Linked DNA regions of Lytechinus pictus. The protein of the gene in region 1 purifies or fractionates together with the protein of each later gene. This does not show direct contact. Links are inferred from orthologs where the notes say so. Each region holds a gene or a part of one and is shown in the gene's direction. Other genes may lie near its edges.

Evidence for each region.
Region 2: the proteins of transitional endoplasmic reticulum ATPase-like (region 1) and protein phosphatase 1 regulatory subunit 7-like purify together in Homo sapiens (affinity purification with mass spectrometry; 3 studies listed by BioGRID and IntAct, with this or other methods). This does not show direct contact. The link is inferred for Lytechinus pictus from reciprocal best matches to the Homo sapiens genes VCP and PPP1R7.
Region 3: the proteins of transitional endoplasmic reticulum ATPase-like (region 1) and large proline-rich protein BAG6-like purify together in Homo sapiens (affinity purification with western blotting; 4 studies listed by BioGRID, with this or other methods). This does not show direct contact. The link is inferred for Lytechinus pictus from reciprocal best matches to the Homo sapiens genes VCP and BAG6.
Region 4: the proteins of transitional endoplasmic reticulum ATPase-like (region 1) and cullin-2-like purify together in Homo sapiens (affinity purification with western blotting; 3 studies listed by BioGRID and IntAct, with this or other methods). This does not show direct contact. The link is inferred for Lytechinus pictus from reciprocal best matches to the Homo sapiens genes VCP and CUL2.

What each region holds. Positions count from the first base shown.
Region 1 is NC_087255.1:27,478,319-27,485,171, reverse strand, and holds the start of transitional endoplasmic reticulum ATPase-like, read left to right. Parts: upstream 1-3,827; 5' UTR 3,828-3,978; coding exon 3,979-3,995; intron 3,996-6,853. UniProt on the Homo sapiens protein: Necessary for the fragmentation of Golgi stacks during mitosis and for their reassembly after mitosis. Involved in the formation of the transitional endoplasmic reticulum (tER).
Region 2 is NC_087258.1:4,634,169-4,641,813, reverse strand, and holds the start of protein phosphatase 1 regulatory subunit 7-like, read left to right. Parts: upstream 1-4,629; 5' UTR 4,630-4,910; coding exon 4,911-4,929; intron 4,930-6,625; coding exon 6,626-6,735; intron 6,736-7,645. UniProt on the Homo sapiens protein: Regulatory subunit of protein phosphatase 1.
Region 3 is NC_087259.1:30,465,139-30,472,837, forward strand, and holds the start of large proline-rich protein BAG6-like, read left to right. Parts: upstream 1-4,693; 5' UTR 4,694-4,761; coding exon 4,762-4,824; intron 4,825-5,799; coding exon 5,800-5,841; intron 5,842-6,363; coding exon 6,364-6,594; intron 6,595-7,274; coding exon 7,275-7,346; intron 7,347-7,699. UniProt on the Homo sapiens protein: ATP-independent molecular chaperone preventing the aggregation of misfolded and hydrophobic patches-containing proteins.
Region 4 is NC_087257.1:3,623,981-3,631,456, forward strand, and holds the start of cullin-2-like, read left to right. Parts: upstream 1-4,450; 5' UTR 4,451-4,628; intron 4,629-7,185; 5' UTR 7,186-7,209; coding exon 7,210-7,328; intron 7,329-7,476.

The sequences.
Region 1 (6,853 bases):
TTAAATCCCTGATTCGCTCCACATTTCAAAATTCATGCGGTAACCGTTACCATAGAAACTAGTTAAGGAACCTGATATCCACTTGGACTAGCTGCAATGAGGTATTAATCTGAAAAAAATGAACATTAGTTGCTATTATTATATCATTTACATTTAACTATATATGTATCATATCAATATCTATTCGGATCCATTATCATGTTGAAATATGAAAATTTACTTTTACTACAGAACGATTTGTTGTTTTTCTGTTATCCAAGTTATGCAAGTGGTTCAAAGAAATCCCGAACTCGTCTATTTCAGTGCGTTAATGGTAGCGCACATTGGTGTTTACATTACAATTCGTTTGGTACCATGTATGTGATGAAGTGCTGTTCTACTATACGAACTGGCCAAGATAAATCCTTTCATCACTAACTAATTTAAATCATTTTGGCGTGAAAATGTTTGAGTTTAATCATATCAACGATAAAGTATATACCTAAAATGAAAAAAAATCCAATTAATATTTCATCAGTTCATAATACTCATTTTGTCGATAGGAGTCCATTCAAGGTCAATAATGATGACTGATGTTAACTGGAAAGGTTCGATCCTTGCTGATCTAGCATACCTCTGTCATTTTTTCCTCTGCCATTATTACCTCTGCCATTTTTACCTCTGCCATTTTTACCCGGCACCGACTTTCAAAGGGGGGGGGGGGCACACCTATCTAAGAACGGCATATACATTACAATTTTTATTATGGCTCTCAAAAAGGGGACACGGGCCGGATGTGTCCTAGTCCCCCTGGATCCGCCAGTGCACTTAAAAAATAAAGCGAGCGCGAAGCGTGAGCTGATTTTTTTTTAATATGTATTATTATTTTGACCTATATAGGACTGGGGCATTCTAAGGAAATTTTGTCATTATGTGAAAATAATGACTATCTTCCTTTTCCTTTTCTTAGTACGAGATGAAACTTGTTTATATTTCATTTTGAAAAAAAAATGACAATTTAAGAATTCATGAAAATGTTATCATTTTATTCATTAATCTAATAAGCCTCATGAGAGAGCGAAATTTGTTGATATTAAGGCCAGAAAACTTTTAAGCACTCATTTAATTATGAATCAGATGCATGGATTGTATCATAACAATAATCATGAAAAAGGGATTTAAAGTAGTTTGTTAAAATTAATATAGGTATACATAACTCACTAATTAAAATGCAAGGACGCAGCGCTAGCTGATACGTTTTGACAATCATACCTGAAAAGGGATATTTTGTTAAATTTATGGAATACACGAAGAGAATAGGTGTACTTGACAAATTAAATAATGTGAGCGCGCAGCGCGATCGAGCTGGAAATGTTGATATTCAGACCACAAAACGGACATTTTACAGTCATGACAGAACACTTAAACAAAAAATTGTTAATTAAACAAGATAATGGAAGCTCGATGTCCGAAAAATGTTTTGTATATAGACTTCAAACCTTGATATTTTAAGCTCCATATCGGCCTATTGAGCAAGATATGCATCTCATTGAACAGGCAATGCGAGCACGACGCGTGAGCAAAAGTTTTATATTGTGACATGAGGGATTTAAACAATTATTTTTCAAGTCTTATTTACTCGTCTTCCTCCTCTTTTTTCCTTTTATTGTACTTTTTTCTCTTTTCCCTTCTTTTTCCTTTTTGATCTTGCTTTTCCCCTTGTTTTCTTGTTTTCAGTTGCTCCGCCATAAAAAAAAACATGGGGCATACGTCCCCCTTAAAAAAAGTGTGTGTGTGTGGGGGGGGGGGAGACGTGTCCCCCTGTCCACCCTGGGATTTCCATCAATGAGAAAATAACATCATATATTTCACTTTTCCTTTACTTTGTTGTTTGTTCTTGGTTGTGTATTTTGGGGGCCATGGCCCAAACCCTTCCATCTGATGTTTAAGACAGACCGCTATTTCAATCAAATCGCGGGTATATTACACAGTAAAAACGCTGTTTAAGATTTTATACAACGTTGTTTACTATATGAACCTTACAGTATTTGTTTAACCGTTTAAACAATCATGTTTAATTTATTGACAATTAGATATTGAAAATTAAACTTTATTGCTTAAGATTTAAACAGTTGTATAAACAGTTTAAACAATTACTGTAGGTTCATATAGTAAACAGCGTTGTATATTTTTTTTTTACTGTGTATAGAGGGAAAACTTTTACACAGCACATTAATTCGACGATGTGGGAAAATTTATAAAAAGTCGCCAGCCTTTTGTCTTTGGAAATGTAATTCTAATTTTGATGATTTTTACATTATATCATTGTTTTCCATTCATTTCATTTATTTATTTTATTTCCCCTTGGTGGTGATTGATGGAATCACCCCGGCCCCCTCACTGTACGCTATAGTGCTTGAACGTAAAGCGTAATGCAGGAAGGGTCCGCCGGGTACAAATGCCCCGGCCGTTGTAGAGCCGATTTGAAGGTTACAAATGAAGAGCCCTAGAGCCCCCGCCGTAGCTTTGGAGATTTAGCCAAAGTGCATTAACATTAAGATGTTTTTACGGTAATTCTTGCCAGCATATAGCTTTACTGAAATGTAGGGGCAGTAGCTAGCATACGCAGGGGGGTGGTGCTTGGGATTATAACCCCCTGTTTTATACACCCCCTAAGAATTCAACCCGCCTTAGATTTGTTTTTAAGACCTTGTTTTGTTTTTTTGCTTGTCATTTTTTTTTTGGGGGGGGGGGGGGGGTAGGAAACGACCTGAAATTGGTGGTGAAGACCCTTTTTTAGTGGGGGGGGGGGGGGTCGTCAACATTTCATTCAGCTTGATACCCCCCTTAAAAATAATTCGACCCTACTGGGCAGCCCTGTCGAGTTATGTATTAGAAGTTCTTCCTTTTTTTTCTCGTCCCTTTTCTTCATTTTCCAAATTAGCTAAAGTTCATTTCCCGATTTTCTTTATCTTTTAATTTATTTCCCTTTCTTATCAATCATGCTAATGCATAGTATTTCGGGATGATTGTTTCTTTCTTACAATACATGTTCTTCTTTCCTTCCTTTTCCCGCTTTCCTTCCGTTTTCTCTTTTCATGCTTTTTTTTTCAGGCATAGGATCCCTGCTGGCCTCCGCCACGTACCTCCGACTTTTGGCTTACCTAATGGCAACCATAATTGCCAGATCTTTAAAAAAAACAACAACAAATTTATAAGATTAAAAAAAATACTGTTTTTAAAAGCTTTTTCATTTCTCCTTTATTTTTTTCCTTTCCCCTTTTCTCCCCCTCCCACCCGTACCTTTACTTTTTGTCTTCTTTTCATACCAGTTAGTCTCATACCATAGAGATGTATACTAGTATACATCTCTATGTCTCATACACGGAAAAATTATTTCCGTGGTCTCATAGGAATGACGCAATCTTTATTTCTAGAAATTCAAGCATAGTCTGCTAGCAAGAGTAGACTTTTTTTTAAAGTAGAAACCAAAATAAGAGCACCCTATCTCTATAAAACCGTCACCATTCTTATCGATCTATCCATATTTTCCTCTAGAAATACGATATACAGAAATATTTGTCAATATTTATTTTACAGCGCAAGAATGGTATTGTGCAATCGTTTAATATGACAAAGCTGGTTCGGCTTGGTTTTTTGTTTTCTTTCCCCACTCTGTAATAACTATTGTATTTGAAAATAAAAACGTATCGAATCATATTGTTTTGTATGTAATTTTGAATTTATTATATAAAATTTATCTATATTAATTTTTACATGATCGTGTAATCATCTAATTTTATATGACTGATTATTTGTAGTGCATTTATCTCTAAATCACTATAAATGTTCCGCTTGATTGCTCTCGGTATATATACACGTGTATTAGTTTGGTCCGTGAGTCTTGAAGATAAACTAATTATTTCATATGCAGCAAGTTTGCGATTTCACTGTGAAGACGAATGCACTTGCTGTTTTCTTGTTTAAATCATCAGAAATATGGCTGAAAATTCTCAGTAAGAATTTCATATCTTTATTTTGTTTAACTTTATGTATCGAAATCACGTGTGATGTATTTTGCTGCTCTCATGAATGAAGAGAATTTATTACTCGGATCTGGCTTTGTTCATATTCGGTCATCACACACATTTTCAATTTCACGAAGTCATTGTGCGTGTATGAGATGATGTGAGTGACCGGCGCGGCGAGCTTTTTACAGCTACCCACGTACACTACAGACTACACTCTACAGTACAGGCCAGTGCAGCGCCAGCCAACCAAAGTGCGTGTGTGTGTGGTTCACTGGTTGGAACTACCCCTTAATTATCGACCACCTAATTTTCTAAGCATCGTATCAGCGAAAATATTTCTCAGTTTTTACCTAGTTTTCGTCTCAATTGTGCAGAAAATTTAGGAGATCAGATTCCCATGTTTCGTCTTTCGATTGACGATCCGATTCAATTCGCGTATGGTCGGGGGTCCTAAAGCTGCGCGGGTCCTAAAGCTACGCACCACTCATAGCGCATGCAGTTTTTTATGGCAAATGCGCACTCTGTGTGTGGAACTGTGACTGCAGAGTGACGAACGATTCCTAATCAATTTTTTTCTACAGAGGTTGCAGTAAATCTCTAAATGCAGAGAAAACAAACAACTATTTGGATTTTTGGAGTTATATTCGCTTTAATTTCATTTTATCCTATAATAATGTGAATATATTTTAGAAATTGAGGCACAGGAAATACTTTTTTTTTGCATGATAAATCGAGTGCGTAGCTTTAGGACCCCTTCTACATCGGGCGGCGAAATCAAGAGGTGTTCGGAAAACACGGCGGGATTTTCGTGTTAGTGAGTTTAGCGATATTTTCTTCTTGGTTAATGATCTTTATAATGTTTGCCACAAATTAGTGAAAGATAATTTGTTGAAATATTAAAATTGGGATATTTTTTGTTGTTTGAAAACAAAGTGCGTAGCTTTAGGTCCCCCCATCATATATGGTATATCGGCAAAAAACTAAGTAATAATACGACGATTTTACATTTGCTCATTTGCACCCTTCTTTTAAAACCGACCACCCGGGATACACTAACCGTTCAAGTTTACGGCCGATTCTTGTCGCGGCGGCGCGGCGAAATATTTGGACTCTTCCAAATCAGTAATGTCAAAAATGATCCTCTCACTACCGTACTGGTACTTCCACTGCGAGCTCTGGCACATGATTCGAAGATTGACGACGGATTTGTTCTAAAGCCGTTTCCTATCGGATTTCTTGGTATGAACAACTGTTTTTCAGCGGGGTTCGGGTCTAGTCAAAACAATTTTGATAAATTCTACTAAATTTCTACCCCCTTTCGTTTTCTCTCGTAAAATCGATTTTTACTGTTCCTATGGACACTGCGCCTACTCTCCCGCGTGCATCGTTTGTAATGTGCAATGATTTTAATGCGCGCAAGGTGGTCGGTTTCAAAAGAGGTGGTGATGGTCTCACTATAACGTTAGGCCTATCTGGTAACTGAATGTAGATCTACGTCATCTAGTACCTCGGTCACATTTGCTCTACGGCGGCCGTACGGCGAGTCGAAAACAGCCGTTTTAAATTTTTTTTGTACCAGCTACATATAGGTGGTTTGAAATAAAATTAATAAAACGGCCGTATTCGACTCGCCGTACGGCCGCTGTAGAGCAAATGTGACCGATGTGTTACGTGGTCATGACTAGCCAGGAGGCTCCTAGAGAGTAAAAATCATTTACTAACGTATGCTTACTCTCAACGGAGCCAGGAATTTCTTCCCATTCATCTGCGTGTACCGCAAAAAAACCCTGAAACTTTCGCCCCCGAGATTTCTACTTTCCTTCCAAAAGATCTAGCCCTTAATCATGTACATGGGATACAACTTCATTTCCGACATTTCTACGATATCGATTTCATTTTTAAACAAGAATTAATTCAAAAAAATATTATGAAAAGACGGGAAAAACTTGCCACCGTGTTTACGTCGCCATCTTGATTTCACTGTCTTTTGCGTGGCGACAGCACGCAAACCGCGCGGAGGAGCAAGTTAATGAGTTTTCATAACTAGATCTATTTTTTAGTCCAGTTGTGATCGATGCAAAATGGGATGAGAGATGCCTGTGTGTGATGGTGCAATAGTTCATCTAATTTTTAAGTTTGACAATGTTTCACTTTGAGACTTATTCATTTCTAAAATATTATAGTTTTTCGAAATCTTTAAAATATATTTAAAAAAAACCAAATATCATTAAGATTTTTATTTGATTGGATTTTTTTTTTTTGCTTGTAGTTTGAACCTTTTCCCTTTCTTTCTTTCTTTCTTTCTTTTGTTCTTTCATCTTTTTTTTCTATCCTTTCTTCATCTTTCTATCATTCCTACTAATTTACCTGGCTTTTTTTGTTCCATCTATTATATTTCCAATCTTTCATAGCTTTCTTTCCTGATCCTTTCTCTTCATTTTTCTTTCATTCCTTCTTTCTCTTACTTTCCTTTTTTTTCCCCCTTTTTTGTTTCCTTCATTCTTTCTTTCCTTAAACTTTTCTTTGCTTCCTCCTTTTTTCCTTACTTTGTTTTTCCTTTCTGTCCTTCATTTTTCTTTCACACATTTATTCATTTTCCCTTCCGTTCTTTTCCTTTCTTTCTTCATTCATTTCAAAGAATGACAGAAACCTTATTTATTTGTTTTATTATTTCTTCATCCTTCTTTTATTTTTAACTTTCTTTCTTTGTATTTATTTTCTTTTTTCCTTCATTTTCTTTACTTCTTTTTTATCTTCCTTTCCTTTCAAATCATCTCTTTTCTTTCTCTCCTTCATTCTTATGTTCACCCTCCCTTCCTTTTCTTTATAATTTTTTTAAACAA
Region 2 (7,645 bases), on another chromosome or scaffold:
AAAAAGAGAGCTTACAAAATGTCTAATTGGGTTGATCTTTTATTTACTTTCTATCATTGTATATATATATATATATATATATATATATATAATCAATATTCTTGCTATAATGTTTTATGTTTTATATACTTGTTATGTACGTTATGTTATGTTATGTTACTAATTTCATTAAGGATCCCCTTTCAAGCTCTCCCTCTTCTGGGTCTATAAACCTTTCATGATATACTTTTGCCAATCTTTATATAATATCACCTGACTGGTTTGAATAAAATTATATCTCTTAGGCCCCTTTATCACTTTAAAAAAAATTGAAGAACTTAAAATGAACAAAATTAAATGTAACCTATATGATCTCAGAGCCCATGGTCATTATATTACTCATTTAAAACACTAAAATAGTGACTACCCAGAAGGAAAAACCAGTAAGACCAGTAAGAATTTTTACTGGTTTCCAGTATATTTTTACTGGGCCAGTTGATTTTTAACTGGACCAGTAAAAATCAACCAGAGACCAGTTCAAACAATTGCACTCCAGTTGAAGCAATAGTAATACCAGTTAATTCTTTTTTCGTCAATCTGGTGTTACTGGTCCAATAAATAATGACTTTATTTCAAGTCAGATCCTTTGACGAATTATGGAAAATGAATCTTGCAATTCAGAGAAAGTTATCATCTTTATCATTTATCATTGTTATCATCATTCTTATAATTATTATCATTATGATTATTATGATCATTGTTATCATTTTTATTACTGTTATCATTGTTATTGATATTGTAATTATTTTTATTAATATTATCATAATTATCAAGTATTAACATTATCATTAAAATAATTATCTCCTTTAATCATGATTAAGATCAAAGCAAGATATATTCCTCTGATATAGTCAACTGGTCTAAAGTAATTCATTGTTTGATATTGAACTGGTCAAGACCAGTAATACCAGTAATTCTGATGATGGCTGATCACGTGGTTTACCTCATTTGCATATTTCCTGTTTTTAAAAGAAAAATCAGGATTTAGAATGGAATATCCTTGCAATGGCACTCATTGTTGTTGAAAAACTTTCTAAATAAGTGTGTGAACTAATCCACAATGAAAATGTGTAATTTCATATATCACATTTAAATAACAGCAGAAAGATTAATTTACTAACCGTCTTTTCCATCACATTTCACTGACCATGGTATATAACAAACCAAATGCTTGTAATAAATTGATCCAGTAAGACCAGTACGAGGACCAGTTCGACCAGTTCAAAGACCAGTCAGACCAGTAGAACATACCAGTATGAAGACCAGCGAGACCAGTAACAACAATCACCATCAAGACCAGTATAAAATTCCAGTAATTCAAGACCAGTTTAATTTTTAACTGGACCAGTAAAATTTTAACTGGACCAGTATGACCAGTTAGACCAGTAAACCGATGTTCCAATTTCCAGAGTTACCAGTTAAAATTCTACTGGTCTAACTGGTCCAGTGGAATTGGTTTTTCCTTCTGGGTAATATTCTTCACTCTCTGCATTGGATGGTTGAAGGAGAATGAATGAAACCTTTTGAACAAGTTTGTATGAAAACACACAAATCATTAAAGGAAGTCCACCCAAACAAAAAGTTGATTTGAAAAGAAAAAGACAAATCAAACAAGCATGACTGAATATTTCATCAAAATCAGATATGTCAAATAAGAAAGTATAACAATTTCAAATTTCGCTTAATTTCACAAAACAGTTATTTTAACATCCTTATTGGTATGCGAATAAGGCAACTGATGACATCACCAACTCACTCATTTCTTTTGTATTTTGTTAAAAGAAATGTGAATTATTCTGATTTTCTCCTCACTGTCATGTGAAAGGAATTTTATTCCTCACTGAATCTGTGGAATTACCATTGTTTTTAACATTTTGTGGTTCAGTCGAGTTGGTTCTTATTGTCAAATTTGTAAAAATTGAAATATTGTATAATTCAAACAATTAAAAAAAAAAACGATTGAGTGAGGGACATTGTTGACTATCTCATTTGCATGTCACTGAGTGGTGCATATATCTATTTAGTGAAAAATAAGCGAAACTTCAAAATGTCATAATTTTTTTTATTTTACATCCGATTTTGATGAAATTTTCAGCGTTATGCTTGTTGGATTTTTTCTATTGATTCAAATCAACATTTTCTTTGGTGGACTTGACCTTTAAAGAATAGGATCAATGAAATTTTGAGAAAAATACTATAGTCTTGGGAAAAAAATGAGATTGAGTAGCCGATATGTCACGCCATCATGAAATATTATACTGTTTAGTCTAATCAGTTGTTGACCAGAAATAGTTTCAGAACACACTTCAGATTTTATTATTTACCGGACACTACCCCTGGATAAAACAAATAAGGCCTGGCATATTTAAACCAACTGTGCTGCACTGATCCCGAAAAGACTGGAAAGGAAGAACTTGGAAGATAATGAGAATAAAGACGAGAATAAATATGCAGATAACAATCATTATGATAACTCTATACCCGTGGTGATAATTCAATAATGAAAATGACCAATAATATAAATCGTCTTGCCCCCAGCCCCCGGCCCTCATCAAAATATCTTGATGCCGCCCCTGGTTACAATGTTGCTTCTACTTAATTTATATAATTTTTATCATCGTATATATTAATATACAATATTTTGTCCATAACGGTTGACTTCATCTATTGCTTCATGAGCGTGATGAGCATGAAAGAACTCGTAATAAAACTGATTCTTTAAATATAGGCCTATAATACATGGATGTTCTTCGAGCTATTATTCTGATAACTGGTGAAGGAAAATACTTTACTTAGTGGTATATTTTGCTTAAGAGAAATGCTGGAAAATGCTTTTTAAACCATCTAACAATGAAACCATATACCAGCCGTACGTCCTATAAGCAGTTGCTTATATCATTGCAGCATGCTTTCTATAGCGGCAAAATACCCCCCTCCTCCGATACAGACAGACATAACAGCTATATGGATTTAAAGTTGTAGAGGAGTAGCTGGGGTATACCGGGAAAATAGAAGAATGCATAATATTTTACAATATTGAAATAAATATAATGCAATTAAACTTATACTAGGCCTGACGAATAAAGAAAAGAAAGATACCTCCACTGGCTAATGAGGGGGGGGGGGGGTGGGCTTTGGGCATACCAAGAAAAAGGGGGAAACTGAAAAGAAAAGACATACGTGAAGATATATAGGTAGGCCTATACATGCGGATTATGTCAAAATTTTGATCTCAAAGGTTTTCATCAAAACGTAATTTGCATTCACAATTAAGTGACTTAAAAAAAACCCGGTTCATTACCCCACACTCTAACAAACAGAAAGTGCCAAAGGCCAAAGGAGGGAAGGACTTCATCCCATGCCCTGATCCCTCTTGTACATCAGTACACTCTGGCGTACCGTGGGTCAAGGCATTGGGGGCACCATCAAAAATTTTGAGTCACTTAGTGGGCACGCGATGCACGCTCAATTTCCAGGTATACTGACCTAATAGAGACATTTTAAGGACTGTGCCATATTAAACGGATATGTATCTCACTGATCAAATAATGCGAGCGCGAAGGGCAACCTGAAAAATTGTGATATTCAGACATAAAAAGGGACATTATAAGAAAATTGTTGTAATCATGATACGTATCTGTCTCGCTAACTAATAATGCGAGCGCGAAGCGTGAGCTGAAATTTTCGTATATATTGAGTCCAAACGGAAATTTTAAGGATTATTTTTTAGAAATCGATTCACAGTATATATCTCACCATAGTCATCTAATGTGAGCCTGCTGCCAAGCGCTTGCTGATTTTGTAGAATTACATATAAACACATGAAGCATTTTTGTATTCATGATTAACATACGCATCTCACTATTCAAAATAATATTGCGAGCGCGAAGCGCGAGCTGAAAATTTAGGAAATTCAGACCTGAAGAGGGACATTCTAAGGCTTGTTTGTAGGAATTCATCCCGGGGAATTCATAAGACCATACGTATTTCAATAACCAAAATTAATGATGCGAGCGCGAAGCACGAGCTCAAATTTTTTTATATTCAGATCATAAAAAGGGACATTCTTAAGGACTGATTTTAGGAATTCATGAAGAGCAGACATATCTCACCAATCCAATAATGCGAACGCAAGCACGGTCTGGAAATGTTTATATTCAGACCTCAAAAGGGAGCAATCACTTTGTGTAGTCATGAAACGCTACATAAAACAATAATAACTCGAAGTGCGAGGAAATGTGTATATTGACTTGAAAACTGGATGTTTTAGTACAGCAGGATTATATATCTCGTTAAAAATTAAGACAATGCGAGCCCTGAGCAAATTATGTTTCACAAAGTTATGAAAAAATATTTCTTATGTAATATAACATAATTATATAATATAGTATAACATATTATAATGTACAATAATTTCTTCTTTCCCACTACGTATCTTTTCCTTTCTCCCTCTTTTTCTCCCTCCTCTTTTTCTTGCCAGCCCCCCTTGCCCCCTCCCCCGTAGTTATGTCACTGACTCTACAGTTGCTCGGCGCGGTCATCCCAAGGTTGATCGATCCCCATTAAAAAAAAATTATGATGTGGGAACTCAGAGTGAGTCCGGGGATAATGTTGGCCTTGTGTAATTTTTTTCTAGACATTCGTGGTGTTTCAAATATGAAGAGATAAATCTATCAAAAATAAATATTCACAACGACTATTAAACTCGGAATTTTGACCCCCCCCCCGATTAACGGTTTCGTCAGTTCCTCATATTATTTAACCCTCTTTTTCCCCCAAATTCAATTCAATTAGAGATACCATATTGTCATCAAAATTCGTTTCGAGTCGACTGCTGTGACTGTGTGAAAGAAAGAACGGAAAAAGACGGAATGGCGGAGGAAAAGAATGGTAATTTTTCATATTTGCTTGTATTCTTTCATTTTAGTGTATTGGTATAATGATGTGCATATGTCATGTATGTATATTTGTCGTGAGAAGAACAGTAAAGTGAGGGATTATTTCTTTAAAAATGAAAACAAGCTCTTGTGGAGACTTCAAGTCTCACACTTAGGGGAACACTCCCGCGTTCATCTACGGTGATTAAGCTTGTGTGTAATTCTAATTCAAATTAGCAAGGAAACGTGATATCGCTTAATTAGTTACATGCATAATAAATTGCACATGTCGATAATAGCTTTGGCCTTCTGAGCTTGGACGTAACTACATCAAGTGGATTTTGTAATTATTTGCATGTTATTTTATTGATGTGATTAATTGCATGTTGGCCCAGTGTTAAATAATTCTGATTGCATTTCTAATTCTGAATTGATGTTGGAAAAGAAGAGGATAAAGTTTGATTAAAAGAGGCCAGGAGACAGATCAGACTCGGACTTCAGAGAGAGAGAGAAGAGAGCATGATGATTTGAAGAATAGAGATGATGAAATACTTCTGAAAGTGATGAAATTCACTAATCTTTGTTGCCTAATGTTACAGAGCTCTCTTTTATATGTCATCAAAAGGAGTGATTTTTATTAAAAAGTTTTCATTAAAAATTTATTTGACTGAAAGATGATATCACTGTCTGAAGTGAAATAATCTACATTCTACAATTTAATCTCCACTTAATTTTGTATTTAGGATTGATATGTGATTAATTGTTTATGAATAAAATCCTTTGCTTGTGTTAGTTGTGTAAACATAAATATGATTGTTTTTGCTGTTAAATTACTGTATTTATCTACTTTTATTTCTCATCAGATGTTTTATTGATAGTTTCATACTGTACATCTGTTCTGATGATGATTATGTTTAATGGTGTTCATTAAAAATAGAACATTTAGGCTCCCCTTTTTGCTAATTATTTTTTTATACCCACTGTTTTTGTAAAAAAATAACAATAAATTCACTAATATTTTTCATTTAGATTAGTAGTATTTGATAAATTTCAAAATTTTATTGATTTGTTCATGAATGTAATATGTATCTCCCATTTTTTTTTTGGGGGGGGACAGTCTTTGAAAAATTGTATTTTCCTTATTATGATGACCTGGTGTAAAGTTTGAAATGAAGTACACACCCTCTTTCAAAATACAATATTTTGTAACAAAAAGATTCTAAACAAAACATTTTCTGGAGTGTTCTTATTCACTTGTTTGATTTCTATGGAAGGAAATACAATCTATTTTCTAAATATAAATCTGCTGACTCAACAATTTGTTTTTGCAATTTTTACGGTACATGTAAACCTTTTACATGTCTGATTGTACAGCTTCGCCATAAAATAATTTTATTTAACAAACCAATTTGACAATTTTTTTAAAGTAGGTAGGATATAAATTTTAAAAAAATTGACAGTAGGGCAATTCCATAAAATAATCAACCTTTTTGTACGTCCGACCCCCATTTTTCTCAAGTTTTACTCCACTTCATAAACAAGTCATGGTCATTTGAGAGCATTACAGTCTTTCAAAAGAACCAAAATCAGAGACAGAAAATTTCATGAAGATCCCACATATAGGGGGTCGGACGTACATATTTTATGGAATTGCCCAGTAGCATGAATATCTGTAAGCTTTTGATTTTCTTTTAATTATCATTTTGAAGAAACCCCAATGACTGATGAATCTGAGGAGGAGGAGGAGGAAGGAGGACCAGGAGTCCAGATGATAGAACCTCCGGAACCAGAACCAGTTGCTTTAGATCCAAATGCTTATGTAAGTAGTTTGGTTTATAATTTACTTTGTCTGCAATAGATTTGGCTACTTTTCAGATAGTCTCATACCACATGGGCTAAACCCATTTGGCCTACCATCAGTTAGGTTAGACTACACTTAGACTAATACCCAGTCTAATTCTCAATTAGTCTAATGCCCGGTCAGTCTAATTTCCACTTAATCTAATCCCTATTTTTCGTTTTGTAAAATTAAAATTTGGTTCATGAATAGTTTATCTAATCATATCTAGACTAAGTGGTGTTAGACCAAGTGGATATTTGACAAAATGGGTAAAGCCTAACTTGAAATGAGACAAAATGGTACAGTACATGGACTTATTAGCAATTAAACCAAATGGTTAGTAGATGAACTGGTTGTAGATAAACTAGAATTACACCATGTGGGATGAAACCAAGCAGAAAGTTGACAAAGCGGGTGTAGGCCAAGTGGTAATTTACCCCCAATTACCCACTGCGATTTATGGGAAGGTGGGAAGGTCTTCAAAGCCTCATAGGTATATTTAGTGCCACATTGTCATCAGACAATCAATTTTTCTATGTACCTGTACATGTATATGATATGAAATTATAACTATTTTGGCTCAAACATGTACATGTATATAATATGATTATAAAAATCTGTTAATGAAACTTCTTTTATTCATGTTTTATGTTGAACTGCGAAGAGCTAGCCTACATTATCAGAACATAACATTTTTAAATGATATAAATATTGTTAGTTGTTATTATGAGATAAAAAAGGAATGTATGATATAGCTGGGCCACTCATTTGCACACCACATTGTTCTGTAATGAACCTTAAGGATTTTGTTTCACCGGTGTCCATAATGCTGCAACTATGAATTGCATGTTATAAACCCCTACCAACTTACCAACCTACCAAAGATTTA
Region 3 (7,699 bases), on another chromosome or scaffold:
AGGTGTACGAGTTCTGGCGGTTATACGGTAGTCAACAATAAATAAAAGCTTAATTTCTTACTCTTCACCCTTATTTCACTCCATGTCCATCCTCCGGTCATCCTCAAAATTGGTGATTTTTGGCCAGTAAAAAATATTATATTAGAAAAATATTATGAAAAGACGGAGGAGACTTGCCCGATATTTTCGCCACCATCTTGTTTCCTATTGTTCTTCCCCATCGTAAAGGACGCACGCGTCCGTAGCATTGGGGGAAGATTTATAGGAATGCAACTAAAATGGATAAATGACAGTAATCATATTTCAATTTAACTATTGCTTCATGATACATGAATATTAATGTTACTAGATTTTACTTTTGCAACAAATATTTTCTGATTAAAATATGTGTATTGAATATGATGTGATCTAGGGGTGGGACTAAAACCCGGGTCCCGCCTGGAAGCCTCGGGTACCCGGGTAGAAAAATCAATACCCGATACCCAAAAATTGCTCACCAGTATAACGTACATGTATTTGATTTGCATTGCGTAGTGTTAGACATGATTGTAACTCATCACAAAAGTACATTAGTCTCATTTTGAATATCACCAATTACCCTCGAAATATCCATAAATATACAAGTTTTTCAAGTGATGATGTGACTGAGATCGTTCAATCGTCGCCATGTTTCTTTTGCAGCGCCAGCCAATTATGTTCGTGTACCATTTTCAGTTCATCATAAAACCAAAAATGGTAACACGATAGTGATTGGCTGGCTTATCTGATGCTCCGAAACCTGGAAGTCAATTGACTTTGTGCACGTAGCGATAGATTCTACAAACTCATGAACACGATGTAATATTGACGCTACTTCGTAAGATTTTGATGGAAAAGCAAGAAGTAATCAAAATTTGCTTACCTGTGTGGTATCGGTGAGAAAACAGATCCTCCGAGAATACCTTTCATAATTCATATAAAATATAGGAAAGTGGAATTCTAGGTCGATTTTGGTAAGAGGTGACAGAGTATTGCAGACTTGTTTCGATGGTAAACAGGGTGCTACATAACTTTTTTGAAGCACTTGCCCAGTCGGGCAAGTAAATTTTCAAATAGTTGGAAAATACTTGCCCGAATATAGATTTCACTTGCCCGAAAAAATCCTTCAAAACAAAGTTTTATTGCTTCAAAACAAGTTATAGCCTTATAGTTTTACATACCATACCATTGACGGCTTTAAAAATACATTTTTCAACATTACAACTGATGTACCTTGTAGTTGTACCGGTATTTCTTTTTTTTTAATGATTTTTATCTTGAAGATCATGACAAAATGAATGGTAAATATGCTCTTTACTTAATTTCCTAATCTCATATATTTTCCATATATTTTGGAAGGGACTAGGACACACAATAAATAAAGGGGAAATCACTGAAAATAACCAGAGAAAAAAAATGAAGAGAGGGGGAGAGAATGAAAGAAAAAAAAGTAAGAAGAAAGACAGAAAGGACGAAGAAATAAAGGAAGGAAGAAAAAAAAAAGGGAAAAAAAAGAAATAAAGAGAGAGAGAGAGAATGGCTGCGGGGAAGAGAAAGATGGAAAGAAAGAAAGAAAGAAAGGAAGAAAGAAGGGAAAGGAGGATGGAAAGAAAAAAAATAGGAAAAAAAATGAGAGGAAGAGAAAGGAAGGAAAGAAAGGAATGAATAAAAGGAAAACAAGAAAGAAAAAAGGTAAACAGAAAGGAAGGAAAAGGGAAAGAAAGAAAACGAGAGAAAGGAAAGAAGGAAGATAGGAAGAAAGAAAAGGTATAAGGATAGATGGAAGGAAGGAAAAAAAGAAAAAAAGAAAAGAAAGATACAACGAAAGACAGAAAGAAATGAAGGAAGGAATGAAGGAAAGAGATGAAGAAAGGCAGAAAGAAAAAATAAGGAAGAAAAGAAAGGATGGATGGAAAAAAGAAAGATCAAAAGAACGCAAGACAGAAATAAAGAAAAACAGAAAGAAAGGAAGGAAGGAGAAAGAAAGAATGAAAGACAAAAAGAAACGAAGAAATGAAGGAAAGAAATAAAGAAATGAAAGAATGAAAGGGATGAAGAAAGTAAGGAAGAAAAAAAGACAGGAAGAAAAGGTAAGAATGGATGGACTGAAGGAAGACAGTAAGAAAGAATGAAAGGAAGGGGAAAAAGAAGGAAGGATTAAAGAAAGAGGTAAACAAAGGTTGGATGGAAGGAAGAAAGAAAAAAAGATAGAAAGAAAAGAATGACAAAAAGAAAGACAGCTATAGTAACAGAAAAAATGAACAAAAGAAGGAAGGAAATTTAAAGAAATAAAGAGAGATTCAAAAGAAGGAAATATAGGCAGAAAGAAAGAAAATAGAGAGGAAGAAAGCTCAAACTATCCAGTCATAAATAAAGAAGAAAATTTATCAATTTCCTTGGCTAAAAAAAATAGTTACGAAAGAAACCACGTTTATCAACATACACACAAATGCATATGTGGGACTGTCAAACAATGTATTTCAGACGATCAGTCGAAACCCGATCTTTTTGAAGCATAACAGCAGTGAAAATTTCTCCTTTTACTGCTTACAAATGACAGAGCTACCCCAATTTTTAGGAAATATGGACATTACAAGAATTTTTATCGGTGAGAAATGTGAATTTTGACAGTTCTGTGGGAGATTTCTTCCAGAGCAAACTTCGTTCGTGCAGCACCGTACACCGTAGAAACTTTACTACATGCATCGGCTGCGTGGACTAGGCGCTAGCTAGCTAGGTATGCTAGACTGCCATTCTGTGTGTGTGTGTACGTCTCTGAGCTGTGTGTTTATTGCACAAAATGGCGCAAATTCTGCAAAATTTCGAATTATAAACTTTTTTGAAAGAAGAAATTACGGTAATGATATTGCTTTTTTTTCTCTTTTTCTTTTCTATATTTTGATGGGGAATCTTTCTAAAATATAATTTCCATAGGAGAATTTTGCTTGCCCGATTCGGGCAAGCAGTTTTTGTCTTTGCTTCAAAACACTTGCCCGACTCTAACTTTTACTTGCCCCGGGCAATCGGGCAAGCGCTTATGTCGCACCCTGGTATACTACGCATAGGACATTCACGGGAGGCTTGCACTGCTTACTATATTTTCATTCATAAATTGGCTTGCGGCGCAGTGGCTGGATGACTCCACCTATGAGTTTTTTCCACCAGTCATATTTCATGCGACATGATTTTCGGGTACCCGCCCGAAAATTACCACGGGTACCCGAAGACAAAAATACCCGAAAGTTCCAGGCCTAATGTGATCTTTTGCATTGAACATATATAAATAATATGTCATGTCTAGAATTATGATTCATACATGTATGTATGCTTTTACACTCAGGCTACTTAGTCAAAGTGTTTAATCACTGTTAAAACGACAGTTAAAAGAATAAAATTATTTCCAAGTCTGACTTGTTACTGTGTGACTGTGCCCAAAATGTTGATGAAATTTTACATTTAACATCTTTAAAGTCATGAAATTTGCATTTTTTTTCCATATTTCCTTGAAATTGTTTTTATTCAGTTACATGTACCTCTATCAAGAAAATGAAGAATACATGTAGGCATGAAGAATACATGTAGGCATGAATTGCTACATCTCTTAAAACAGCAATATGCAGTGTAGATATCTACACTTGCTTATGTACGCTATAAGTTTTCATTTTCATTAGAACATGGAGAAACGTAATAATATAATGCAACAATAATTTTTTTTCATAATATTGGATATAATTGACGCCTTTGGCAAGGCGTCAATCCACAATTTGCCACTCTCCACCCAGGTGTTAAATGGGTACCCGGTAGGATGCGAAAGCCTATGTAGTATGCCTAGCAATTGAGTCTTGGAACTCTTGTTGGAATGCTCCCCAGGGAGTGGAGAAGGTGCATACATTGTATGCGGGCATGCAAGGATCCGATGACTGGGGTGATAATATATCTGTAAAGTGCTTAGAGACGTCGTTTCGATGTGTTAAGCGCTATATAAATGCAGAATATTATTATTATTATTATAAATAGATCCTTAAATGGGGGCCTTTGGGAAAATAATTAAATATCAATCCTGTGATTGTTATTAAATGTTCAGTGATTGTATCAAACCAACTGAACTATTATTACTTTGAATACAGCTTTGAAAATAGTTTTTAATCAAGGCGACTCATTTGCCCCATTTTGATGTGCAAATAAGGCGCGCTGACAACAATATTTAAGGCTCATTAATATGCAAATGGGATTGATTAGATCTTATATTTCTATTGGATAATGTATGTCTGCTGTAGACCTTATATTTGACATCTAATCATGTTTCTACTGCTTTGCATTAAACAAATATGAGTGGAATTATGAAAAATGGGGCTTTATTTACCCCACTCTCCCCTACCCAGTATGAATGCTTGCCTCGAGCGTCTGATCAGGGGAGTCAGATTCAAGGAAATTTGTCAGATCTGACAACTTGTTGGACAAAACTGTTGATCAACAGCTCCCCAGGATAGCCATACTAAAGCCCAGGTAATAGTATGCATTGCATTAAGAGCTATATAAAGTTGCATATTATTTTTTCATCAAGTCAGCACTGCTGCTATATTGAATTAGACAAGTGCTGCAGGCGAGACTGCCAGAAGCTTTCCACTTGTTAGATTTTGTGGTGTGAAGTATCCTGTCATTTAATTTTTTACTTTATCTTTACTTTTCTTTAGATTTAGGATCAAAGCTTGATACAACAGAGTAGGGAGAGAGAGGATCATAATGATTGATATTACTGTAAAGACCCTGGATTCACAAACCAGGCAATTCTCTGTATCAGAGGATGTAAGTTTGCTTGATTTATTTCTTCTCAATATAATAATGAATGATAGTGGTGGATCCAGGTAGGGGCACATCCAGCCCATGGCCCCCCCCCCCCTCCACCCTTTGAAAGGCACAAGAAGATATCTTAGGGGATTTTGTCATGCATACGCATTTCAGGACTTTTTTTTTTGCTTGTCATATTTTTCCTGTACAAAATACCCCCCCCCCCCCCTTTAGAAAATCCTGGATCTGCCCCTGATGATAGTGATAATACAGATTATGTCAGTGATTAGTAATAATAATTAGGAGGTGCAAAAGCTCCATTGATGAAGCATTTGGTTCTGTTATCCAGTGAACATAGGTTTGATTCAGAGTTGATGTGTTATTGTCCTTTAGTGCCAATTGGTAAGGTATTGACCCTCATTTAATATTAGGGGCCCATATCATGAAGGACTTTCAACATATAACTTACCATTATGGTAGCTACTATGGTAACCGGGCTCAGCAGCCAATCACAATCAAGGTTTCCATGGTAGTTGTCATAATTGTAAAGCAACCATAGTTGTAACTCTTTATGAAAGAGGCTCCATGTCCTTTTTAGCAGACTTAAAATCTTCAAACGGATCCTCTGGTTAATTGCTTACTAAAATTCATAAAATTCATACTTTATAATATTATAATTCATAATGTACAATATTGCATTTTATTTTCAGTTTACAATACCACTTTAATTAGCTATGATAATTTCAATTGACAACAACATGTTAATTAACAATGCCAATGTAATTTAAATGAATGGGAAATGATAAAAATTACACTTCAGCAAGAGATGATTCATATATTAAGTGTATAGAAAAATCAGGAAACATTTATCGTTAATACAACATTTATATTGAGCAAATTTGTATGATTTCTTAATTCATTCTCATTGTTTAGATATGAATTGGAAGTATTTATATGTATTTATACCTTATTTATTTTCTTTAATTGTAATAGTTGACGGTGAAGGATTTCAAGGAAAAGATTGCAGGTTCTGTGGTAAGATATTTTCTCCTATCACTTATTTACAAAGAAGAGTAGCACTGTAGGCCTACATATATCATTAAAGGAATTTCATGTGAATTCTTCAAATAAAATCCTTCAATGACTGTATATACATACGTAACTCACAGGAAATGAATGTTCTTTAAGAAGATCAATTGAGGCCATGGGAATTACAGTCACAGGATTGATTAATTCATCTAATTGGCTTTAAGCAAAACTTTCAGCAAAAGTAAATGGCTTATTTTGTGAGTAACCTTGATTGAAATAAAATTATGTTCAATTTTCAACTATACAATCATTACATGTGTTTTCAGTATGAATGTATTGAGTAGTAAATTAGTGTGTTTTCATTCAAGTGGGTATATTTGACAAGAATGTTGCATTATGAGTAAGGAACCAGGCCAGATTCAAGTAGTTGAGGACTTTATGTGGTGCGAAACAAGGGTGCTGGCTCATAATTTGCTTTAAGTAGGATTCGTTTTGTTAATGTAATCTCTTTAACATGATCGCTTTCAGGGCATTGCAGCTGCCACTCAACGTCTCATTTACGGCGGTCAAGTCCTCAAGGATGAGAAGAAGCTGTCCGAGTATAACCTCCATGGAAAGGTCATGCATCTGGTGGAGAGGGCGCCCCCACGACCTGCAACCACCAGTGCGAGTGGTTCCCAGCAACAGAGAGGCGGTTCTTCCACTACTTCTGCCCCATCTCAGCAGCCTGGTCTTTCTGCAAACTCTAACGAGGTTCAGGTATGTATACATTGATTAGCGATTGATTCAAAGACATGATTTTGGAGTTTTGAGGCCATGAGACATTAATTTCTCATTTAGACTGCATATAATTGACTCTGCCTATTAAAGACAAGACCAAAAGCAAAGGTCAGCAAAGTATTACACCATCTCTGATATTCAAAGATTATAGTAGCAATGACATGTATGCTATGCTAGCAATATGTCAAGGGCCTTTATTCAAACCCTCCTCGTTTATTTTTGTTGTTCCTGGTTTCAGTGATTGATTCATCGTTCTAAGTAATCAGCTGTTCTATTATCCAATGACCATCCTCATTATTTAACATTAATCAGGTGGTTACAGCCTTTCTCCAAGTTTTTCTTCTCCACATTTGTTGGAAAAGAATTTGTAATCAGATTCTTAGAGATCCATTTTCAATTCAAGTTTATTTTTCTCTGCATAAAATGAACAGAAAAATAATAAATTACATGTGGAAAAGACAAAGAATACATAACACGAAAGACATAGAAGTTTATAATATTTATTGATATTTTCCAGAATTCTTATTTTTTATATTTCATTGCTGACATTATTATACAGCTGTTCAGTAAAGACCTACTTTTAAAAAAATATAAATTTTTCAAGATTGAAAGAAATAATATAACTTTCATTGCATATTCATATTAATTTTTAATTTTAGAACATCGTACAGCACATTCTAGGAGCTATGGGAGACTTGGGGCGCAATGCTAGAGTAACATCACAAGCATCAGTAAGTTGTTGAAAGACAGTTATGGGGACCGTTTCATGAAGTGTCTTGTCGATGGTTTTCATTGGCAACTGTTATAAGCTACTGAAATCCTTATATCTGATTGGCTGAGAGTTCATTTATCATTGACTTTGACCTGGAGCGGTCAGTCTGATGAGTAATTAATCGTAGCTCATTGATATATGTCTGTAAAACGCAATTACACACATATTCTGTGCTGTAGCTTTTGAATAATGCAAACTTGTAAATTTAATAAAACTTCAAGCAATAGAATAATTATAGATGCTACATGTAGAAGTAACTTCCAAAAGCTCTTGGCTTACTTTATGACTTCTGTTGGTTTGTCTTGTAATTGA
Region 4 (7,476 bases), on another chromosome or scaffold:
TATAATGCAAATTAACTTTCAATACCCAATAAATTTTCTCGCTTGGTCACTTGTTTCTATAGCTGTTATTCTGACTCTCTTTTGTTATCAACACTGGCGTACAGATGGAGAGGGGGAGTGCTTTTGTGGGCTGGAGCCCTCATAAATTCCAACCATTTTTTTTTTCAATTCCCTCGAAGTTATATATAAAAAAATATGAATATATATGTACATGTATATATGTCCGTGTGAGGGTGTGTCAGTGTGATGGTGTGTGTTTGTGTGTGTGTGTGTACGCGCACTTGCCACTTGTTAATATAAACGAATTGAAGGAATTAGGGAACTCGCTCCACATACCCGAAATTTCTTTATGGATCAATCTTCCCAGGAGGGTGGGATCACAATTTTTTTTTAACTTTAGGACTAGCCCCTTGTTTGTAACCCTAGATTGCAAATATGTGAAACCCCCTACAAACAACTGAAAGCTCTACCAGGAGCAATCTTTCTATTTGCTTTCAACAGGCAATCTTTTTCCATTATATCATTCTCAATATTTTTAAAACATCGAGTATATTATAGGAGTGCGGGCAACTAAAAAATTCAGCCCTAGCCCTTCTTAGTATCCAAAAATTGAAATGAGGTTTAATAAACTTCCTACAAACAACCGAATGGTCTTCTAGGAGCTATATTTCCGTTTGCTATCAGGAGGTTTTTTAATTTTATTTAATCCCCAATTACTGTCAACACTAAAATAAGGACAAAAAAGGATATAAATAATATATAGGAGTGTGGGCTACTGAAATGTAGGCACTAACCCCCCCCCCCTTTATAAACGAATTAAAAGAAGGGAAACTCCCCTCCACAAACACCCGAAATTTCTTTTAGGAGCAATCTTCACTTTTGCTTTTCAGTCAAGAATACTTTCATTTTTATTCACCCCTCAATAGTACAAAAGAAATACTTTTTAAAAGGGCGCAAATAATAAGAGAGGGCCAGTGAACCTTATCAAAGGACAAGCCCCTTCATTCTATCAATACAGTGCGTATCAATAAAAACTGGACAGTTTTGAAAAGTCTATCAAAAATTCTTTTCAAATTATGATGTCTATATTTTGATGTTTATAGATGCTCTGAAACCTTATATTTTAAATGCAATTTTAAGAAATGAATTTTGTTCATGCTTGAACGAACACGAGATTTGTCAAGGGTTCAAAAATAGGTTTGTGCAGAAATGAGAGGAAACAAAATATATGGTCATAAGACTTCCTGCTAAGCAGTAAACTTCCTCTTAACATTTTCATTATCTTTGCCATTGTTTTTAAAATTATGTTTCAAAATTCACTCACAAACTTATTTAGTTACTTTTAAAAAAAAGTTATTTTTTAGGATTGCATATTTAATAATTAATAAAAGTCAACCCAAGAAATGCCTAATTGCATTTTTTTTGGGCCTCAATTAGAGGATTTTATTTACAACAAAACAACATAACACATTATGAAAATGAGCATACATGACATTACAGGAAATTTCAGAAATTAAAACCAAAATTTACATAATAATGTAATTGTGCAATAATCTTACGTAATCTTTAACATGAATTAAAAAAAAACATTAAATGGAAACATGAAATTCACAGTGTTTCAAATATATTCCATAATTTCTTTGGGTAGATGAACATATCTTTTCCTGTACCGAGGTTTCATTTCTATTCTTCTTTCTATTTCTCTTAAAAATATGAATTTCAGATCCAGTTTAATTTGACCAGTAAAATTATTACTGGTCCAGCAAAAATTGTACTGGTCCAGTTTAATTTGACCAGTAAAATTACTGGTCCACCACAATTTGTACTGGTCCAGTTAAATTGGACCAGTAAAGTTATTACTGGTCCAGTTAGTTTGACCAGTATATTTGTTACTGGTCCAGTTAAAATTATACTGGTCCAGTTAAAGTTGACCATCAAAAAATTACTGGTCCATCTTATAGCAGACCAGTATATTTTGTTCCAATTTCCAGAGTTACCAATTAAATTTTACTGGTGTAACTGGTCCAGCCGTGCTGGTTTTTCCTTCTGGGATTGCCTCTCTTTTCGTTTCCACTCATGTTTCTTAAAACGATGACTTTGTGAATGCACCAAAGTGCGATAGTCAGAAGTAAAACTAATTTTTCGTCTACTTCATGTTTAAACAAAATTTTAATGATTGATTTCTAAATCTTTATGAAATATTTGCTGGATTATTTTTTTCAAAAATTCAAAGAATGGTTTGTTCAAATCACAAGAAATGAAAGCGTGATGAATATCTTCCTCTACTTCACAACGAGAACAGATGTTATCATTCACCAAACCCCTAATTGTTAATTGTTAGTTGTTAATAGGGTGAATTTGCTGTACTTTATTCAAATCATTATAATTGTGTGTTAGATAGGATATTAAATTATCAATTCTAACAGAAAAGGATTTATCTGCTTGTTGCATAAAATAAAATGGTTTGAATTGATTACAAGCTCTCAAATTCCTAATTACAAATTGGGTCATTCTTGGTTGATAAAAAATGTTAGTATGAAAGAATATTAATTGCAAAAAAATAATTTATTGAAATGAAAAAGTAAAGTAAATATACAGCTTTGTACGTGACATTTGCGACCAAAATCTGAAAACTATGGCAAAAATAATCTGCTGATTGGCAAGAAGTCTTATAACCATACACTTCATTTCCTACCACTTAGCGCAATCCTATATTTGAACCCCCGACAAAACCATCTCGTGTGCACTCAAGCATGAACAAATTAAGAAAAAAAACATTTTGAATTTGATCGATAAGATTTCAGAGCATCTATGAACATCAAAATATAGACATCATAATTCAAAAGGGTATTTTGATAGACGTTTCATAACTGTCCCGTTTTTATTGATACGCACTGTAAAATTGAATAAAAAGGGTCACTCCCTTCAAAAATACGATAGCTCTCTTCATTTATCAGGAACTTTTTTTTAAAAAATACTCCTCAATATTCTTAAAACTTGAGTATATAGAAGTGAGGGCTACTAAAACTTAAGTACTAGCCCTTTCTTTTTGTTTACAAATTGAGAGATATTAACCCCCCCCCCTCCACAAACCCAAAATATATTTCAGGAGCAATCTTCCAATTGTATTTTATAAAGAGGACTTTTAGTTCAAATTTACTCCTCAATATATATAAAAACGTGGAATATATACGAATGTATATGAGTGTGGGCTACAAAAACTAAGGCAGTAGCCCCCTGTTTTTCTTTACAAATTGAAAGAAGGGAAACCCCCCTCTACACACCCAAAATATATTTCAGGAGCAATCTTCCAATTGTATTTAATAAAGAGGACTTTTAGTTCAAATTTACTCCTCAATATACGAAAAACCCTAGATATATAGGGGTGTGGGCTACTAAAACGAAGGCACTAGCCCCTTGTTTTTCTTTACAAATTGAAAGAAGGGAAACCCCCATCTACACACCCAAAATATATTTCAGGAGCAATCTTCCAATTGTATTCAATAAAGAGGACTTTTAGTTCAAATTTACTCCTCAATATACGAAAAAACCTAGAGTATATAGGGGTGTGGGCTACTAAAACTAAAGCACTAGCCCGTTGTTTTTCTTTACGAATTGAAAGAAGGGAAACCCCCCTACACACACCCAAAATATATTTCAGGAGCAATCTTCCAATTGTATTTTATAAAGAGGACTTTTAGTTCAAATTTACTCCTCAATATATATAAAAACGTGGAATATATATATACGAATGTATATGAGTGTGGGCTACAAAAACTAAGGCACTAGCCCCCTGTTTTTCTTTACAAATTGAAAGAAGGGAAACCCCCCTCCACACACCCAAAATATATTTCAGGAGCAATCTTCCAATTGTATTTAATAAAGAGGACTTTTAGTTCAAATTTACTCCTCAATATACGAAAAACCCTAGAGTATATAGGGGTGTGGGCTACTAAAACTAAAGCACTAGCCCGTTGTTTTTCTTTACAAATTGAAAGAAGGGAAACCCCCCTACACACACCCAAAATATATTTCAGGAGCAATTAATCTTCCAGTTGTATTTTATAAAGAGGACTTTTTGTTGAAATTTACTCCTCAATATACGAAAAAACATAGAGTATATAGGGGTGTGGGCTACTAAAACTAAAGCACTAGCCCGTTGTTTTTCTTTACGAATTGAAAGAAGGGAAACCCCCCTACACACACCCAAAATATATTTCAGGAGCAATCTTCCAATTGTATTTTATAAAGAGGACTTTTTGTTGAAATTTACTCCTCAATATACGAAAAAACATAGAGTATATAGGGGTGTGGGCTACTAAAATTAAAGCACTAGCCCGTTGTGTTTCTTTACAAATTGAAAGAAGGGAAACCCCACCTGACCCCGTTTGTTTGATTTGTGTACAAGAATGCACGCTTCTCTTCGTGCGCAAAATCCTGTATCTGATCTATCTTACATCGCGATATTGTTGGCTGGAACTGTTGGCTGGCTTGCTGTTGGCTAGCTTATTGTTGGCTGACTCTACTCCGGCAGTGACATCATCATTCACCTTTAATAAGCTTTTGATCACAAATACTGAGTAACACAGTAGGGCATAGGAAAGACAGAGGAAAGGTCTTCTTTGAAGGTGAGAAACTGCACTTCTGAATGTTCTGGAAATTGTCAAGGCGTCAACTTTGCTTTTGCTTTCTTCACTTCAGTCCCTCTCGTAAGGATCTGCGCTGGGCCAACTCCCTTAAATATGGCAATGGCAGGTTTTCGTCAATTGCGCGATTTGCGGCCGGTTGTCTAAACATTCAGTTAATATCTAGAAAATCTGATATCATAAACACAACAGAAAAAAGCAGCCTTACACTTATCACAGATTATTTACAAAATGATTCAAAATCATGTTGTGGTGTTTGGAACCACTCGTCTGCTCGTCAATGTGAATGTCAATGACATTGTCATTGACAGTGGGTGATTTCAAAATTCAAGTATGGTGAGACTACCACATATCGACCACCTCTTTTGAAACCGACCACCTTGCGCGCGTTAAAATTATTGCGTATTACAAACGATACGCGCGGGAGAGTAGGCGCAGTGTCCATGGAAACGGTAAGAATCGATTTTACGAGAGAAAAAGAAGCAACAAAAAGTTAAAATTTAGTAGGCCTAGAATTAATCAAAATTGTATTGACCAGACCCAAACCCCGCTGAAAAACCAAGAAATCCGATAGGAAACGGCTTTAGAACAAATATCCGTCGTCAATCATCGAATCATGTGCCGGAGCTCGCAGTGGAAGTAGTGAGACAATCATTTAGCATGTTGACATCATAGAACTGATTTGGAAGAATAAAAATATTTCGCCACCGCGACAAGAATCGGCCGTAAACTTAGTGTATCGCGGGTGGTCGGTTTCAAAAGACGGGTGCAAATGAGCAAATGCAAAATCGTCGTATTCGTTGTTCGTCGATATATACGCGGATTGAATCGGAGTCGCCGAGCGAAACATGGGAATTTGATCTGCTCAATTTTCTGCACAAATGAGACGAAAACTGGGTAAAATTGATGAATATTTTCGCAGATATGATGCTTAGAAGATTAGGTGGTCAATAAGGGGTAGTTCCAACCATAACTGTTATTTAGTAACTTAGATCTACGGTGTTCAGTTTCGGTGTTGGTGTTAAGCGTGAAAAGGCTGCTAAACCGAGCTCCAACACCGATCTGGGTTCAGAGGAGCGATACCGATCGTGTTATCGATAGCTAGTAAGATGTCACGCCTCTGCCCTGCGCTGCTGATCATCTCAACTTCACGCGAGAAATTCTCGACGGCGGAAGTGAAATCAGGGAGAAATTGCAATAAAATCTTATTGTACAGAATGCAAAGATTAAAATTACTGCAAGAATCGGAAAGCGTAAATATCATTTTCATCTTAACTGTAAAAGATAATTTTACAGGGATGTTTCATTGTGTTCACCGCCTGTTCATGAGCTACAGTTCATCAACACCGAATTTGAAATCACGATTTTCCCAATCCCTGGGGGTTGGTGTTGGTGAATGGGGAAATTACATGTAGATCGTCAACACCAGCTGTAATGTTCAGTTCAGCAGACGAAATTCAACACGAACTGCCGGAAATACATCATATTTTCTGAGGTCAATCCCAACACCTGCGTGATATTTCAAGTACGGTGTTGTGGCTGGTGTTGATGTTTTCACAACACCAACACCAGATTTCAACACCGTACTTGAAATCACCCAGTGGCGATGCAATGTAACTTAACCTAAAAGCACAATTTTATTGTCATGTTGTGAAATTGTGTTAGAAACTATTAGTTAGATGAATCAAGGTGAAAGTAGGCAACCAGTTGTCATTATCATGAAAATTAGTCTTCTTGTGTGTTTCGGTGAGTGTGCGCTCACGGTGTAATCATGTCAAATGGAGGAGAACACTACCGTACTAGGAGTGTTCACGATGAGTAACTCATCCACATGAACGCCTTGCCCCAAGGCCAAACCTAAAGGATACCCCCAGGGACATCGGCAAGGCTTCCATATGTCCCCTCCACTAAAATTGAAAAAAAAAATATGGAGAAGGTTTATCAAGAATTATCTAACACATATCTAAGAGATTTAGGAAGGTAAAGTTGGATACATACCAAAAAAAGGCTTTATTCCGTCAAAATCTTGAGTGTGTAATTTCCAATGGCATTGGTTTATTTAGTCAGAAAAGTGAATACCCAATACTATTGGATATATCGGTTGACAACCGTTATGAAACCCATGGCTTTCAACAATTCCTGCTAGCTCAGTGAGTAAGGCGACAGACTGGAGATGCCATGTGCTGCAGCAAGAGGTTCAAATCCAAGAATCCAACCGGAAGTAAGAAGGAAAAAAATAAGAAAAAGATAACGAAAGAAGGGCGTTTGGAGAAGTACTTTTTCAATTAGTGGAGGGGACATAAGAAAGTCTTTCCGGGACATCATATCACACTTCTCAACAATTATGTGACATTGAAACGAAAAGGCATCACAAATACACTTGAAAGTAAACGAACAAAACATACAACAATACAGCCATAGGCTGTTATAAAAAGATTTATGTTGAAACTTCAGGTTCATTATTATTTGGAGCTCCTATTTCGTCAAATATGTATTTATGTTAACTTGTTTTGTTTGTTTTCTCCCCACTTATTAACAGGGATCTCATCTTGTTGACGTAGCCATGTCACTGAAGCCGAGGATTGTGAATTTTGAGGAAACTTGGGGTAGGCTGCTAGAGACTGTCCAGACGGTCATCCAGTTGGGAGACATCAAAAGGGCCACTTGGAGCGACAGATTTCCGTATCCTTTCTTTTTGTCACTTTGTTGAGATAACAGTAGAGGGTTGTAACTCGTAGAGTACCAAAGTGTGATGTCATCAATTTTCACTGTTTGCATGTCAGCGTTTTTGATACCATATTTTGGTAGAGTTTGATGAAATTCCTGAAAT